3 linked regions of the Macaca fascicularis genome follow. The protein of the gene in region 1 purifies or fractionates together with the protein of each later gene. This does not show direct contact. Links are inferred from orthologs where the notes say so. Each region holds a gene or a part of one and is shown on either strand. Other genes may lie near its edges.

Region 1 (3,647 bases):
TCCGTCTCAAAAAAAAAAAAAAAAAAAAAAAAAGAAAGACAGTTCTGAAAGCTCCGACTAAAATACGAAACCATTACAGATAAGAATAAGAGTCTGCTGAAGTGTTAAGGCAGTTGTGCCCCAGCTGCCCCAGAGTGGCAAGAAATTCTCACCGCCCTGGGTGGAGGCTGACAGTGAGCCAGGACGTGAGCAGTGCAGGAAGGCATGAGCTGGAGGCTGGGGCCCCCCAGGGCTCCTCTTTCCCCAGAGCACGGCCCCTGTACTCGGCCTCGCCATGTGGCCGTAGAGGGGCAGATTCAGCCAACAGAGGCCTCCAAAAGCTGTGGGATTCTCAGAACTGCTGGATGTCACACATCCCTTCTCACTGGCAGAGGAGGTTGGGAGAACGGGTCTTGGGAAAGCCTGGCTCCTCGGTTTCCTCCTGAGGGTCCTTTGAGAGCGTTGGGGGCCCACCTGAGGAGAGCAAGTCCCACTTCTCCCCCTTACTTTCCCAGACGATCGTCACCGGATTGAGGAGAAACGCAAAAGGACATATGAGACCTTCAAGAGCATCATGAAGAAGAGTCCTTTCAGCGGTGAGATGGGGACCGGGAAGGACAGAGAGAAAGGCAGCGGGGAGGGAGGGGACACCCTGGGGCTGAGAACTGACCCAGCCCTTGCCCTGCAGGACCCACTGACCCCCGGCCTCCACCTCGGCGCATTGCTGTGCCTTCCCGCAGCTCAGTTGTTCCCAAGCCAGGTAAGGATTTCCTTTTGTCCTACTGGAACGACAGGTTCAGCTCTGTTCAGCTGAGGAGCAGTGGAGATGCAGACTCTTGGGCCCCATTACAGACCTACTGAATCAGAGGCTTTGAAAGGATGGCGCAGGAACCAGCAACTTCTGGGACGCTAATGCATGCTGAAGCCTGGGAACCACTGTGCCAGTTAAATCCTGTACTGGGTATCTTGGGATTCAGAAGTTAAAAATGCAGAATCGGCCGGGCGCGGTGGCTCATGCCTGTAATCCCAGCACTTTGGGAGGCCGAGACGGGCAGATGACGAGGTCAGGAGATCGAGACCATCCTGGCTAACACGGTGAAACGCTGTCTCTCTTAAAAATACAAAACATTAGCCGGGCGAGGTGGCGGGCGCCTGTAGTCCCAGCTACTCGGGAGGCTGAGGCAGGAGAATGGCATGAACCTGGGAGGCGGAGCTTGCAGTGAGCTGAGATCACGCCACTGCACTCTAGCCTGGGCGACAGAGCGAGACTCCGTCTCAAAAAAAAAAAAATGCAGAATCTCTGCTTTCATCTCTCACTTGAATTAGGGGGAACAAAAATCACTTCTGAATTAGCAAGACGTATGTGCCAGTGCGAGGCTCAAAAACTGACAAGCTGTCCACTTGAGGCCGCTGCTCACTTGATGCTCCATGGGCTCATTGCCTCTCAGGACTTAGTTTTTCAGCTGTAAACCGAGGAGTCCAGCTTGTCTCTCAAAGTGTCCCTTCCTTTAAAAGGCTGGGAGAGTTTTGTGGGCTTGAGTAGTCAGGGAGGACTCCAACGTGGAGGTGTGGCTAGAACTGGACCCTACAGGCTGGGTCAGATGGGGTAAGAGGAAGGAGATAGGGTGTTGGCAGTGACTTCCTAGAGAGGGATTGAGCCTAGGCGCCATCAAGAGGGGCTGGGGTAAGAGGACGGAGTGGATCTCTAGGGCTTTCTCTGACCCCTGCCTCTCTGTCTCTCTCCTCCAGCACCCCAGCCCTATCCCTTTACGTCATCCCTGAGCACCATCAACTATGATGAGTTTCCCACCATGGTGTTTCCTTCTGGGCAGATAAGCCAGGCCTCAGCCTTGGCCCCTCCCCAAGTCCTGCCCCAGGCTCCAGCCCCTGCCCCTGCTCCAGCCATGGTATCACCTCTGGCCCAGGCCCCAGTCCTAGCCCCAGGCCCTCCTCAGGCTGTGGCCCCACCTGCCCCCAAGCCCACCCAGGCTGGGGAAGGAACGCTGTCAGAGGCCTTGCTGCAGCTGCAGTTTGATGATGAAGACCTGGGGGCCTTGCTTGGCAACAGCACAGACCCAACCGTGTTCACAGACCTGGCATCAGTCGACAACTCCGAGTTTCAGCAGCTGCTGAACCAGGGCGTACCTGTGGCCCCCCACACAACTGAGCCCATGCTGATGGAGTACCCTGAGGCTATAACTCGCCTAGTGACAGGGGCCCAGAGGCCCCCTGACCCAGCTCCTGCTCCACTGGGGGCCCCGGGGCTCCCCAACGGCCTCCTTTCAGGAGATGAAGACTTCTCCTCCATTGCGGACATGGACTTCTCAGCCCTGCTGAGTCAGATCAGCTCCTAAGGGGTGATGCCTCCCCTCCCCAGAGCACTGGCTTGCAGGGGATTGAAGCCCTCCCAGAGCACTTACGGATTCTGGTGGGGTGTGTTCCAGCTGCCCCCAACTTTGGTGATGTCTTCCTTGGAGGGGGAAGGCATATTTTATTCTTTTATTGGCAGTACCTGTATCTATCTCTCTTTTTGGAGGTGCTTAAGCAGAAGCATTAACTTCTCTGGAAAGGGGGAAGCTGGGGAAACTCAAACTCTTCCCCTGTCCTGATGGTCAGCTCCCTTCTCTGTATGGAACTATGGGGTCCCCCATCCACATCCTGCAGCTTCTAGTACTCTCCTAGAGAGAGAAGCAGGCTAGAGGTAAGGCCTTTGAGCCCACACAGCCTTATTATCAAGTGTCTTCCATCATGGATTCATTACACCTTGAAATAACGCCCCAGGTACCAGCCCCTCTATGGCATTGGCATTGTCGCTGTGCCTAACACCAGCATTTGAGGGGCTGGCCTTCGTGCCCCACAGAGGTCTCTGCCGGCTCTTTCCTTGCTCAGCTGTGGCTGAAGGAAACCAGTGGAACAACGCTGGCTCTCTCAAGGATCCAGAGGGGGTTTGGTCTGGGACTTCCCTGCTCTCCCTCTTCTCAAGTGCCTTAATTGAGGGCAAGTTGTTAAAGAGAGTCGGGGAGAGCAGGCTGGCAGCTCTCCAGTCAGGAGGCATAGTTTTCACCGAAGAATCAAAGCACTTGGACTCTTGCTCTTTCTACTCTTGAATTAATAAATCTGTTGCCAAGCTGGCTAGATTCGCTTTTTTTCAGCAGACACTGAGCACACACTTTGCTAGTCACATCAGGCCGGACATTGGTGGTAGAGAGCTGGGTGAATGCGTGCACTGTCCTCTGAGAGCCTGCAGTCTGAGAATGCCCTTGGAAACCCCGAGTTACTGTCCAGTGGATGAAAACGGGCAACTAAGGCAGGAGTCCTAACACACCGAGAGCCTAGTAGGGCCCACTGACTGGGGATTGAGCAATTTCAGGAGTCTTCCCGGAGGCCCCATTTGCTCCAGGTCTTAGATCAGCTGAGAGTGGATCTCGCAGAGGGACTAGCCAGCGTCAGAGGTAAGAGAAACGATGTTCGAAAGATTTGATGGGGCCAGGAAATTTGGACTTAATTCCTTGGGTGGCCCAGGGAGTGTGTGCTTCTCTCTTGGGGATGTGTAGTGCCAGGTGAAGATCTACCCTGCCCCACCGATGCTTTGATACTCTGTTCTGGGAGGAACGGTGAAAGCTTCAATCCACAGCCTCAGGAAGCCAAAACAAAGGCCCAGCCGCAGC
Region 2 (3,647 bases), on another chromosome or scaffold:
TCTCGCTCTGTCACCCAGGCTGGAGTGCAGTGGCCGGATCTCAGCTCACTGCAAGCTCCGCCTCCCGGGTTTACACCATTCTCCTGCCTCAGCCTCCCGAGTAGCTGGGACTACAGGCACCCGCCACTGCGCCCGGCTAGTTTTTTGTATTTTTTAGTAGAGACGGGGTTTCACCGTGTCAGCCAGGATGGTCTCGATCTCCTGACCTCGTGGTCCGCCCGTCTCGGCCTCCCAAAGTGCTGGGATTACAGGCTTGAGCCACCGCGCCCGGCCCACTCTTTGTATTTTCAATGATGATTCTTGAGATTTCAGTGAGTCTTCAGGTGTCAGTGAATGGAATGGCTGAACATTTTAAAAAGGCTTCAAAACTTGTGATACTGTGAACGTAGGATGTCAGTTCAAAAGAAATGATGCCGTGACTGTAGGGTATCACTGAGATGCCAGTGATAACCTGCCCGTGTCACATGTTGACTCTTTTCTCTCTTAATTATAGGTGATCATGGAGCTCAGCTTGGTCTCCATGGGGCTGGTGGTGATGGAATACATGATGACACAGCAGGTGGAGAGGAAGGAGAAAACAGCCCAGATGCCCAACCCCAAGCCGGTCGGAGGACCCGGCGGGAAGCATGCACCTGCCCCTACTGTAAAGACAGTGAAGGAAGGTGAGTTGACCCAGCAAGTTTCTTACAAATATGAAGAAAAAATAATAGGATTTGGAGGAAAGAGGAAGAAGGTTAATTTTTTTTTTTTTTTTTTTGAGACCGAGTCTTACTCTGTCTCCCAGGCTGGAGTGCAGTGGCGCCATCTCGGCTTACTGCAACCTCTGCCTCCCGGGTTTAAGCAATTCCCCCTGCTTTAGCCTCCCAAGTCACTGGGATTACAAGCATGTAATCCACACCTGGCTAATTTTGTATTTTTAGTAGAGATGGGGTTTCACCAGGTTGGTCAGTGAACTCCTGACCTCAGGTGATCTGCCCACCTTGGGCTCCCAAAGTGCTGGGATTACAAGCATGACCCACCGTGCCTGGCCTTGGGTTTTTTTGTTTGTTTGTTTTTTGTTTTTTTGTTTTTTTTTTTTTGAGACAGAGTCTTGCTCTGTGGCCAGGCTGGAGTGCAGTGGTGTGCGATCTTGGTTCACTGCAACCTCTGCCTCCCGGGTTCAAGTGATTCTTCTGCCTCAGCCTCCTGAGTAGCTAGGACTACAGGCATGCACCACCATGTCCAGCTAATTTTTGTGTTTTTAGTAGAAATGGGGTTTCACCACGTTGGCCAGGGTGGTCTCAATCTCTTGACCTTGTGATGCACCCTCCTTGGCCTCCCAAAGTGCTGAGATTACAGTTGTGAGCCACTGTGCCCAGCTTAACTTTTAAATTTTTTATAGAGATGGGATTTCCCTGTGTTGCCCAGGCTGGTCTCAAACTCCTGGGCTTAAGCAGTCCTCCTGCCTTAGCCCCACAAATTGTTGGGATTACAGGCGTTAGCCACTGCACCCAGCCTAGAAGCCTTTTTAAAAATTTAATTTAATTTAATTTTTTTTGAGACTGAGTCTCGCTCTGTCGCCCAGGCTGGAATGCAGTGGCGCAGTCTCGGCTCACTGCAAGCTCTGCCTCCCAGGTTCACGCCATTCTCCTGTCTCAGCCTCCCGAGTAGCAGGGACTACAGGTGCCCGCCACCACGCCTGGCTAATTTTTTTTGTATTTTTAGTAGAGACAGGGTTTCACCGTGTTAGCCAGGATGGTTTCAATCTCCTGACCCTGTGATCCGCCTGCCTCCGCCTCCCAAAGTGCTGGGATTACAGGCGTGAGCCACCGCGCCCAGCCCCTAGAAGGCTTTTTAAAAGGAAGCCTTGGTCCATCGCGGTGGCTCACGCCTGTAATCCCAGCACTTTGGGAGGTGGAGGCAGGCAGATCCATCACCTGAGGTTAGGGATTCGAGACCAGCCTGGCCAACATGGCGAAACCTCATCTGTACTAAAAATACACAATTCAACTGGACATGGTGGCGTGCACCTGTTGGTGCACTGGACATAGTGGCGTGCATCCTAGCTACTCGGGAGGCTGAGGCAGGAGAATCATTTGAACCTAGGAGGTGTGAGCCGTGATCATGCCGTTGTACTCCAGCCTGGACGACAGAGTGAGACTCTGTCTCAAAAAAACAAAACAAAAAAGAAGGCTTTTTCAAAAAATAAAAGTTTGGGTTAGTTTGGTGTAGGTTGGGTGACTGTTGTTGATACTTTGTGGTTCTTTAGTTTCTGTCTCTAGAATGAATGATAAATAGTTGTATCCTCACTTTCAGGGGCTCGGGGGATCCTGGCAAAAAGAAACAACATATTTGCCACATCCAAGGCTGTGGGAAAGTGTATGGCAAGACTTCACACCTGCGGGCACACTTGCGCTGGCATACAGGCGAGAGGCCATTTATGTGTACCTGGTCATACTGTGGGAAACGCTTCACACGTTCAGATGAGCTACAGAGGCACAAACGTACACACACAGGTGAGCAAGAGCCTATGGGAGAAAAATAGAGTAATAGCCTAGAATGAAAAACACAAAATATACCTACAAAATAACTAAAATTTCTGAACAACTTAATTTGAAACTAAATATATGGGTCACAAATGGAATTGGAGTTAATCTGGAAACCTTTTAAGAAGGAAGGAGGAGCTGCGCACAGTGGCTCACACCTGTAATCCCAGCACTTTGGGAGCCCAAGGTGGGCGGATCATGAGGTCAGGAGATCAAGACCATCCTGGCTAACACGGTGAAACCCCATCTCTAAAAATACAAAAAAATTAGCCGGGCATGGTGGCAGGCTCCTGTAGTCCCAGCTACTCGGGAGGCTGAGGCAGGAGAATGGCAGGAACCTGGGAGGCGGAGCTTGCAGTGAGCCAAGATTGTGCCACTGCACTCCAGCCTGGGCGACAGAGTGAGACTCCGTCTCAAAAAAAAAAAAAAAGGAAGGAGTTGGGTGCGGTGGCTCACGCCTGTAATCCCAGCACTTTGGGAGGCCGAGGTGGTTGGATTTCTTGAGGTCAGGAGTTTGAGACCAGCCTGACCAATATGGGGAAACCTTGTCTCTACTAAAATTACAAAAGTCAAGCGTGCTGGCGCACACCCGTAATCACAGCTACTCGGGAGGCTGAGGGAGGAGAATTGCTTGAACCCAGGAGGTGGAGGTTACAGTGAGCTGAGATTGTGCCACTGCACTCCAGCCTAGGCGACAGAGCAAGACTGTCTCAAAAAAAAAAAAAAGGAAGGAACTAGATTTTGAGTGGGATGTTTTGAAGGCAAAGCGTTGAAACCATTACTCTTAGTCTCTGCCCTGCCTTACTTTTCTGCTAAGTTCTACCCTCCTTACTGAGTACTCCCCAACCTTTATCTACTTTTCTTCCCCACGCCCCCACCAAAGGAAAAGATACTTGAAGATTTTTCTTGTTTTTAATCATCTTCTCATACTGGTCTTACTCAGCTTAGTAGAGTAATTACTGAACTGGGTAAGATAACCTCACTTCCTAACATGTCAGCTTCTTATCTTTCCTTCCTTTACCTAGGTGAGAAGAAATTTGCCTGCCCTGAGTGTCCTAAGCGCTTCATGAGGAGTGACCACCTGTCAAAACATATCAAGACCCACCAGAATAAGAAGGGAGG
Region 3 (3,647 bases), on another chromosome or scaffold:
CCTCAGCCTCCCGAGTGGCTGGGACTACAGGCACCCACCGCCATGCCCGGCTAATTCTTTGTATTTTTAGTAGAGACGGGGTTTCGCCATGTTGGTCAGGCTGGTCTCAAACTCCTGACCTCAGATGATCCGCCCGCCTAAGCCTCCCAAAGTGGTAGGATTAGAGGACAGCAGCGTCGGCCATGTGAAGACCTGGAAGGAGTCTGAATGTCACTACGGACACAATGCAGCTAAAGCAACAGCGGCACGGCTGGGCATGGGGGTGCTCTGCGGCTGCAAGACAGAGCAAGGATGGCCCCTCCATGACCCAGGTGACCCCAGATCCATGGGAGAGGTAGAGCAGGGACAGGAAGGTGCAGCCTCTGCTGGTGTGAGAGGACGCTCACGTCTACAGCCACGGAACAGCTTTGCTCAGACTTTATGGCCGTAGCTCCTCTCTCGTGATGGGGCTAGGGGGTGGGAGCAGGGGTCGGTGAGGACAGCACGCTGTTTGCTCTTTTTTAGCTTTTACATTTTGAACTTTGTGAATGAAGGTTTCAGTGCAAAAAAAAAAAAAAGAAAACAGGGAAATGACCTGTGCCCCTGACTGCCGGTCATGAGGGGAAATCATCCCAGGCCCTGAAGCCCCTCCCTGCAATGACTGTTTTGGGGACAACAAAGAGATCAAAGCACAGAAGTAACGTCCCCAGCCTCCTGGGGGTTCCCAGGCTTCTCTAGGCTGGGGCCAGAATGGCACTCATGGGTGAGGATGAGGCTGGGTGGGCACCAGCGGGCCACTGACCTCGGCGTGCTGGGCCATGGTGCTGGCCTCCACCGCGTAGATTTTCCGTGCTCCAGCTTGGGCGGCAAAAAACGACAGGATCCCGGAGCCACAGCCAACGTCAAGAACGATCTAAGGGAGGAGTGGGAGGTGAGAGCGAGACACAGGAGGTGATGGTGATCGGGAGGTGACAGTGATCATAAGGGATGTGCAAGTTATGAGGCGTCAACACCTGGGTCGGTCTTCACTCTCAGTGTTTGCCCTTTATGGACTGTTGGTCAAAATGAAGCGAGAACTCAAGATGAGCCATGGGCCAGTCCTCTGGGAGAAGCCCTGGGGAAGCTCCCGCTCGGCCCCAACCCGGGGCCTGCAGGCCTCCGGATCGTCTGGGGCGAGAGGCATGGGCCTCCCCTGGAAGCTCACTGCCAGTTGAAGAGCATTTTTCCAGGGCCTGCATCTGCAGTTTTAGCATGGAGGAAAGGGCCCGAGGCGTCGGCGGCAGCGTCTCCCAGTTCCATGCTGACTCGTGGTGCCTGGAGAAGCAGCCTGTCTTGGCCGGGGTAGGTGAGCCGCCCAAGCCCCAGGGCCAGCTGGGTTCCCCGCAGGGCTACTGGCCCCTGTTATGGTCACTCATGGCAGAGTCCAGGCCAGGGTCTGGGAGAACACACCACCTGTTCTGGATTTGTGGGATTGCTTCCACACGAGCAGACCAAGGGCAGACATTCCTGGTGGTGACAGGCATGAGCTTTTGAAGGACAAATGTTCTGGGCACGGTGAGTGCCTGTAAGGGAAGCTGGTGTCAGGTGGGAAGGCCTCAGGGTACCGCTCAGAGCTCCAGATGAATCAGAAAATGAATCTCCATCCTCAGGGAGCGGGAAGGGACTTCACCAATAGAGGATGCCCTTCCCAGACCTCAGCGGCCAGGAGGAGGCTCGGGATGACCCAGCCGGGGCCGACACTCCTTCTGTGTCAGGACAACCCCTCCCTGGGGCCCAGGGCCTGCCATCCTCTGGGATGGTAAGCGATGCTAGGGGGGCATGACCCAGATGCTAGATGAGGAAGATCCACGTGGAGAGATCCCCAAAATACTCGGAGGAAAAAAACAGGCTCCCATTTGATTCAAAAGAGAAAACAGGCTGGATGCGGCGGCTCACGCCCGTAATCTCAGCACTTTGGGAGGCTGAGGTGGACGAACTGCTTGAGGCCAGAAGTTTGAGACAAGCCTGGGCAACATGGCAGAACCCCATCTCAACTAAAAATACAAAAATCAGCCAGGCATGGTGGCATATGACTGTAATCCCAGCTACTTGGGTGGCTGAGGCACAAGAACTGCTTGAACCCAGGAGGTGGAGGCTGCAGTGAGCTGAATTGTGCCACTGCACTACAGCCTGGGGGACAGAGTGATAATCTGTCTCAAAAAAACCCCAAAAAACAGAAAGAGAAAACGAAAACTGAGTAAGCCGGGTGCGGTGGCTCATGCCTGTAATCCAAGCATTTTGGGAGGATGAGGTGGGCGGATCACGAGGTCAAGAGATCGAGACCATCCTGGCCACCATGGTGAAACCCCGTCTCTACCAAAAACTCAAAAATTAGCTGGGCGTGGTGGTAGGCGCCTGTAGTCCCAGCTACTCAGGTGGCTGAGGCAGGAGAATCGCTTGAACCTGGGAGGCAGAGATTGCAGTGAGCCAAAATTATACCACTGCACTCCAGCCTGGGCAACAGAGCAAGACTCCATCTCAAAAAAAAAATAGACACTAAAAACTCTGGTAAATGGGATGAGAAGGGATTACGTTTCTACCTCAAGTGATCCATCTGCCTCAGCCTCCCAAAGTGCTGGGATTACAGGCATGAACCACCGTGCCTGGCCGATTTCTACTTTTGAATACAGACGCTCTGCTCTGCTCTCTCTCTTTAATCATGAGTGCACGTTATTTGGTGATATTAAAAAGCTTATTTATTAATTTTGTTCTTGAGGCAGGGTCTCATGCTGGGGCTTAGCCTGGAGAGCAGTGCCCCAATCACAGCTCACTGCAGTTTCAACCTCGCAGGCTCAAATGATCCTCCTGCCTTGGCCTCCCAAAATGCTAGGATCACAGACAGGTGTGAGCTACTCTGCCTAGCTCAATAAAATAATTGTAAAATATACGCTGATGTCTGCATAGGGAAAAATCTGGAAGAAGAGACCTCATACTGAGGGGCAGCAGCTGTCTCGGAGAGAACTGATAGAGGCCTCTTAAGTCTATAATGTACATGCTGTGTTGAGTTTATATATTAAATGCATTTGTTTTTCTTTTTTGTTTTTTTTTAAGAGACAAGAGTCTCGCTCTGTGGCCCAGGCTGGAGCGCAGTGGTGCAATCATAGCTTACTGAAGCCTCAAACTCCTGGGCTGAAGCGATCCTCCTGCCTCAGCCTCCACAGTAGCTGGGATAAATGCATTTCTAATCTGAGATTTTTGAAGATAAAATCAATGAGCAAAGAAAAAAAAAAAAAAAGGCAGAAGCAGAGAGGTGGGCACGTGCACGGGCCGCTCACCTTGTCCTTGAAGTCAGTGTGGTTTTGCAGGATGGCGCGCTGGTAGGTGCCTGTCCGCACGTAGTCCTGCATCATGTTCTGCTGCTGGGACAGGTAGCCATAAAACTGGAACAGAGACACACCAATGGCACGGGGCACATGGTGGCACGAGGCAGTCAAGGCCCTGGCCAGCCCTGTGATAGAGGAAGGGGCCATCTTAGGCACGAACCTCCCTCAGGAGGCCATGCACCCTCTGCCTGGGCCCCACTAGCAGCTCCAGGAGAGGGAGCAGGAGGCCGGAGGGCAGCCCCCAGGAGGACACCACCACTATCACTGCAGCCGACGGCAACAGCTGGATGCTGCCTGGACCTGGAA

Evidence for each region. The genes of interacting proteins can lie anywhere in the genome.
Region 2: the proteins of RELA (region 1) and SP1 purify together in Homo sapiens (affinity purification with western blotting; 7 studies listed by BioGRID and IntAct, with this or other methods). This does not show direct contact. The link is inferred for Macaca fascicularis from reciprocal best matches to the Homo sapiens genes RELA and SP1.
Region 3: the proteins of RELA (region 1) and CARM1 purify together in Homo sapiens (affinity purification with western blotting; 4 studies listed by BioGRID and IntAct, with this or other methods). This does not show direct contact. The link is inferred for Macaca fascicularis from reciprocal best matches to the Homo sapiens genes RELA and CARM1.

Annotation. Positions count from the first base shown.
Region 1 is NC_088388.1:8,712,867-8,716,513, forward strand, and holds the end of RELA (transcription factor p65), read left to right. Parts: intron 1-494; coding exon 495-575; intron 576-667; coding exon 668-739; intron 740-1,728; coding exon 1,729-2,333; 3' UTR 2,334-3,111; downstream 3,112-3,647. UniProt on the Homo sapiens protein: NF-kappa-B is a pleiotropic transcription factor present in almost all cell types and is the endpoint of a series of signal transduction events that are initiated by a vast array of stimuli related to many biological processes such as inflammation, immunity, differentiation, cell growth, tumorigenesis and apoptosis.
Region 2 is NC_088385.1:60,209,653-60,213,299, forward strand, and holds part of SP1 (transcription factor Sp1), read left to right. Parts: intron 1-493; coding exon 494-662; intron 663-2,295; coding exon 2,296-2,495; intron 2,496-3,550; coding exon 3,551-3,647. UniProt on the Homo sapiens protein: Transcription factor that can activate or repress transcription in response to physiological and pathological stimuli.
Region 3 is NC_088393.1:11,477,205-11,480,851, reverse strand, and holds part of CARM1 (histone-arginine methyltransferase CARM1), read right to left. Parts: intron 3,399-3,647; coding exon 3,294-3,398; intron 893-3,293; coding exon 782-892; intron 1-781. UniProt on the Homo sapiens protein: Methylates (mono- and asymmetric dimethylation) the guanidino nitrogens of arginyl residues in several proteins involved in DNA packaging, transcription regulation, pre-mRNA splicing, and mRNA stability.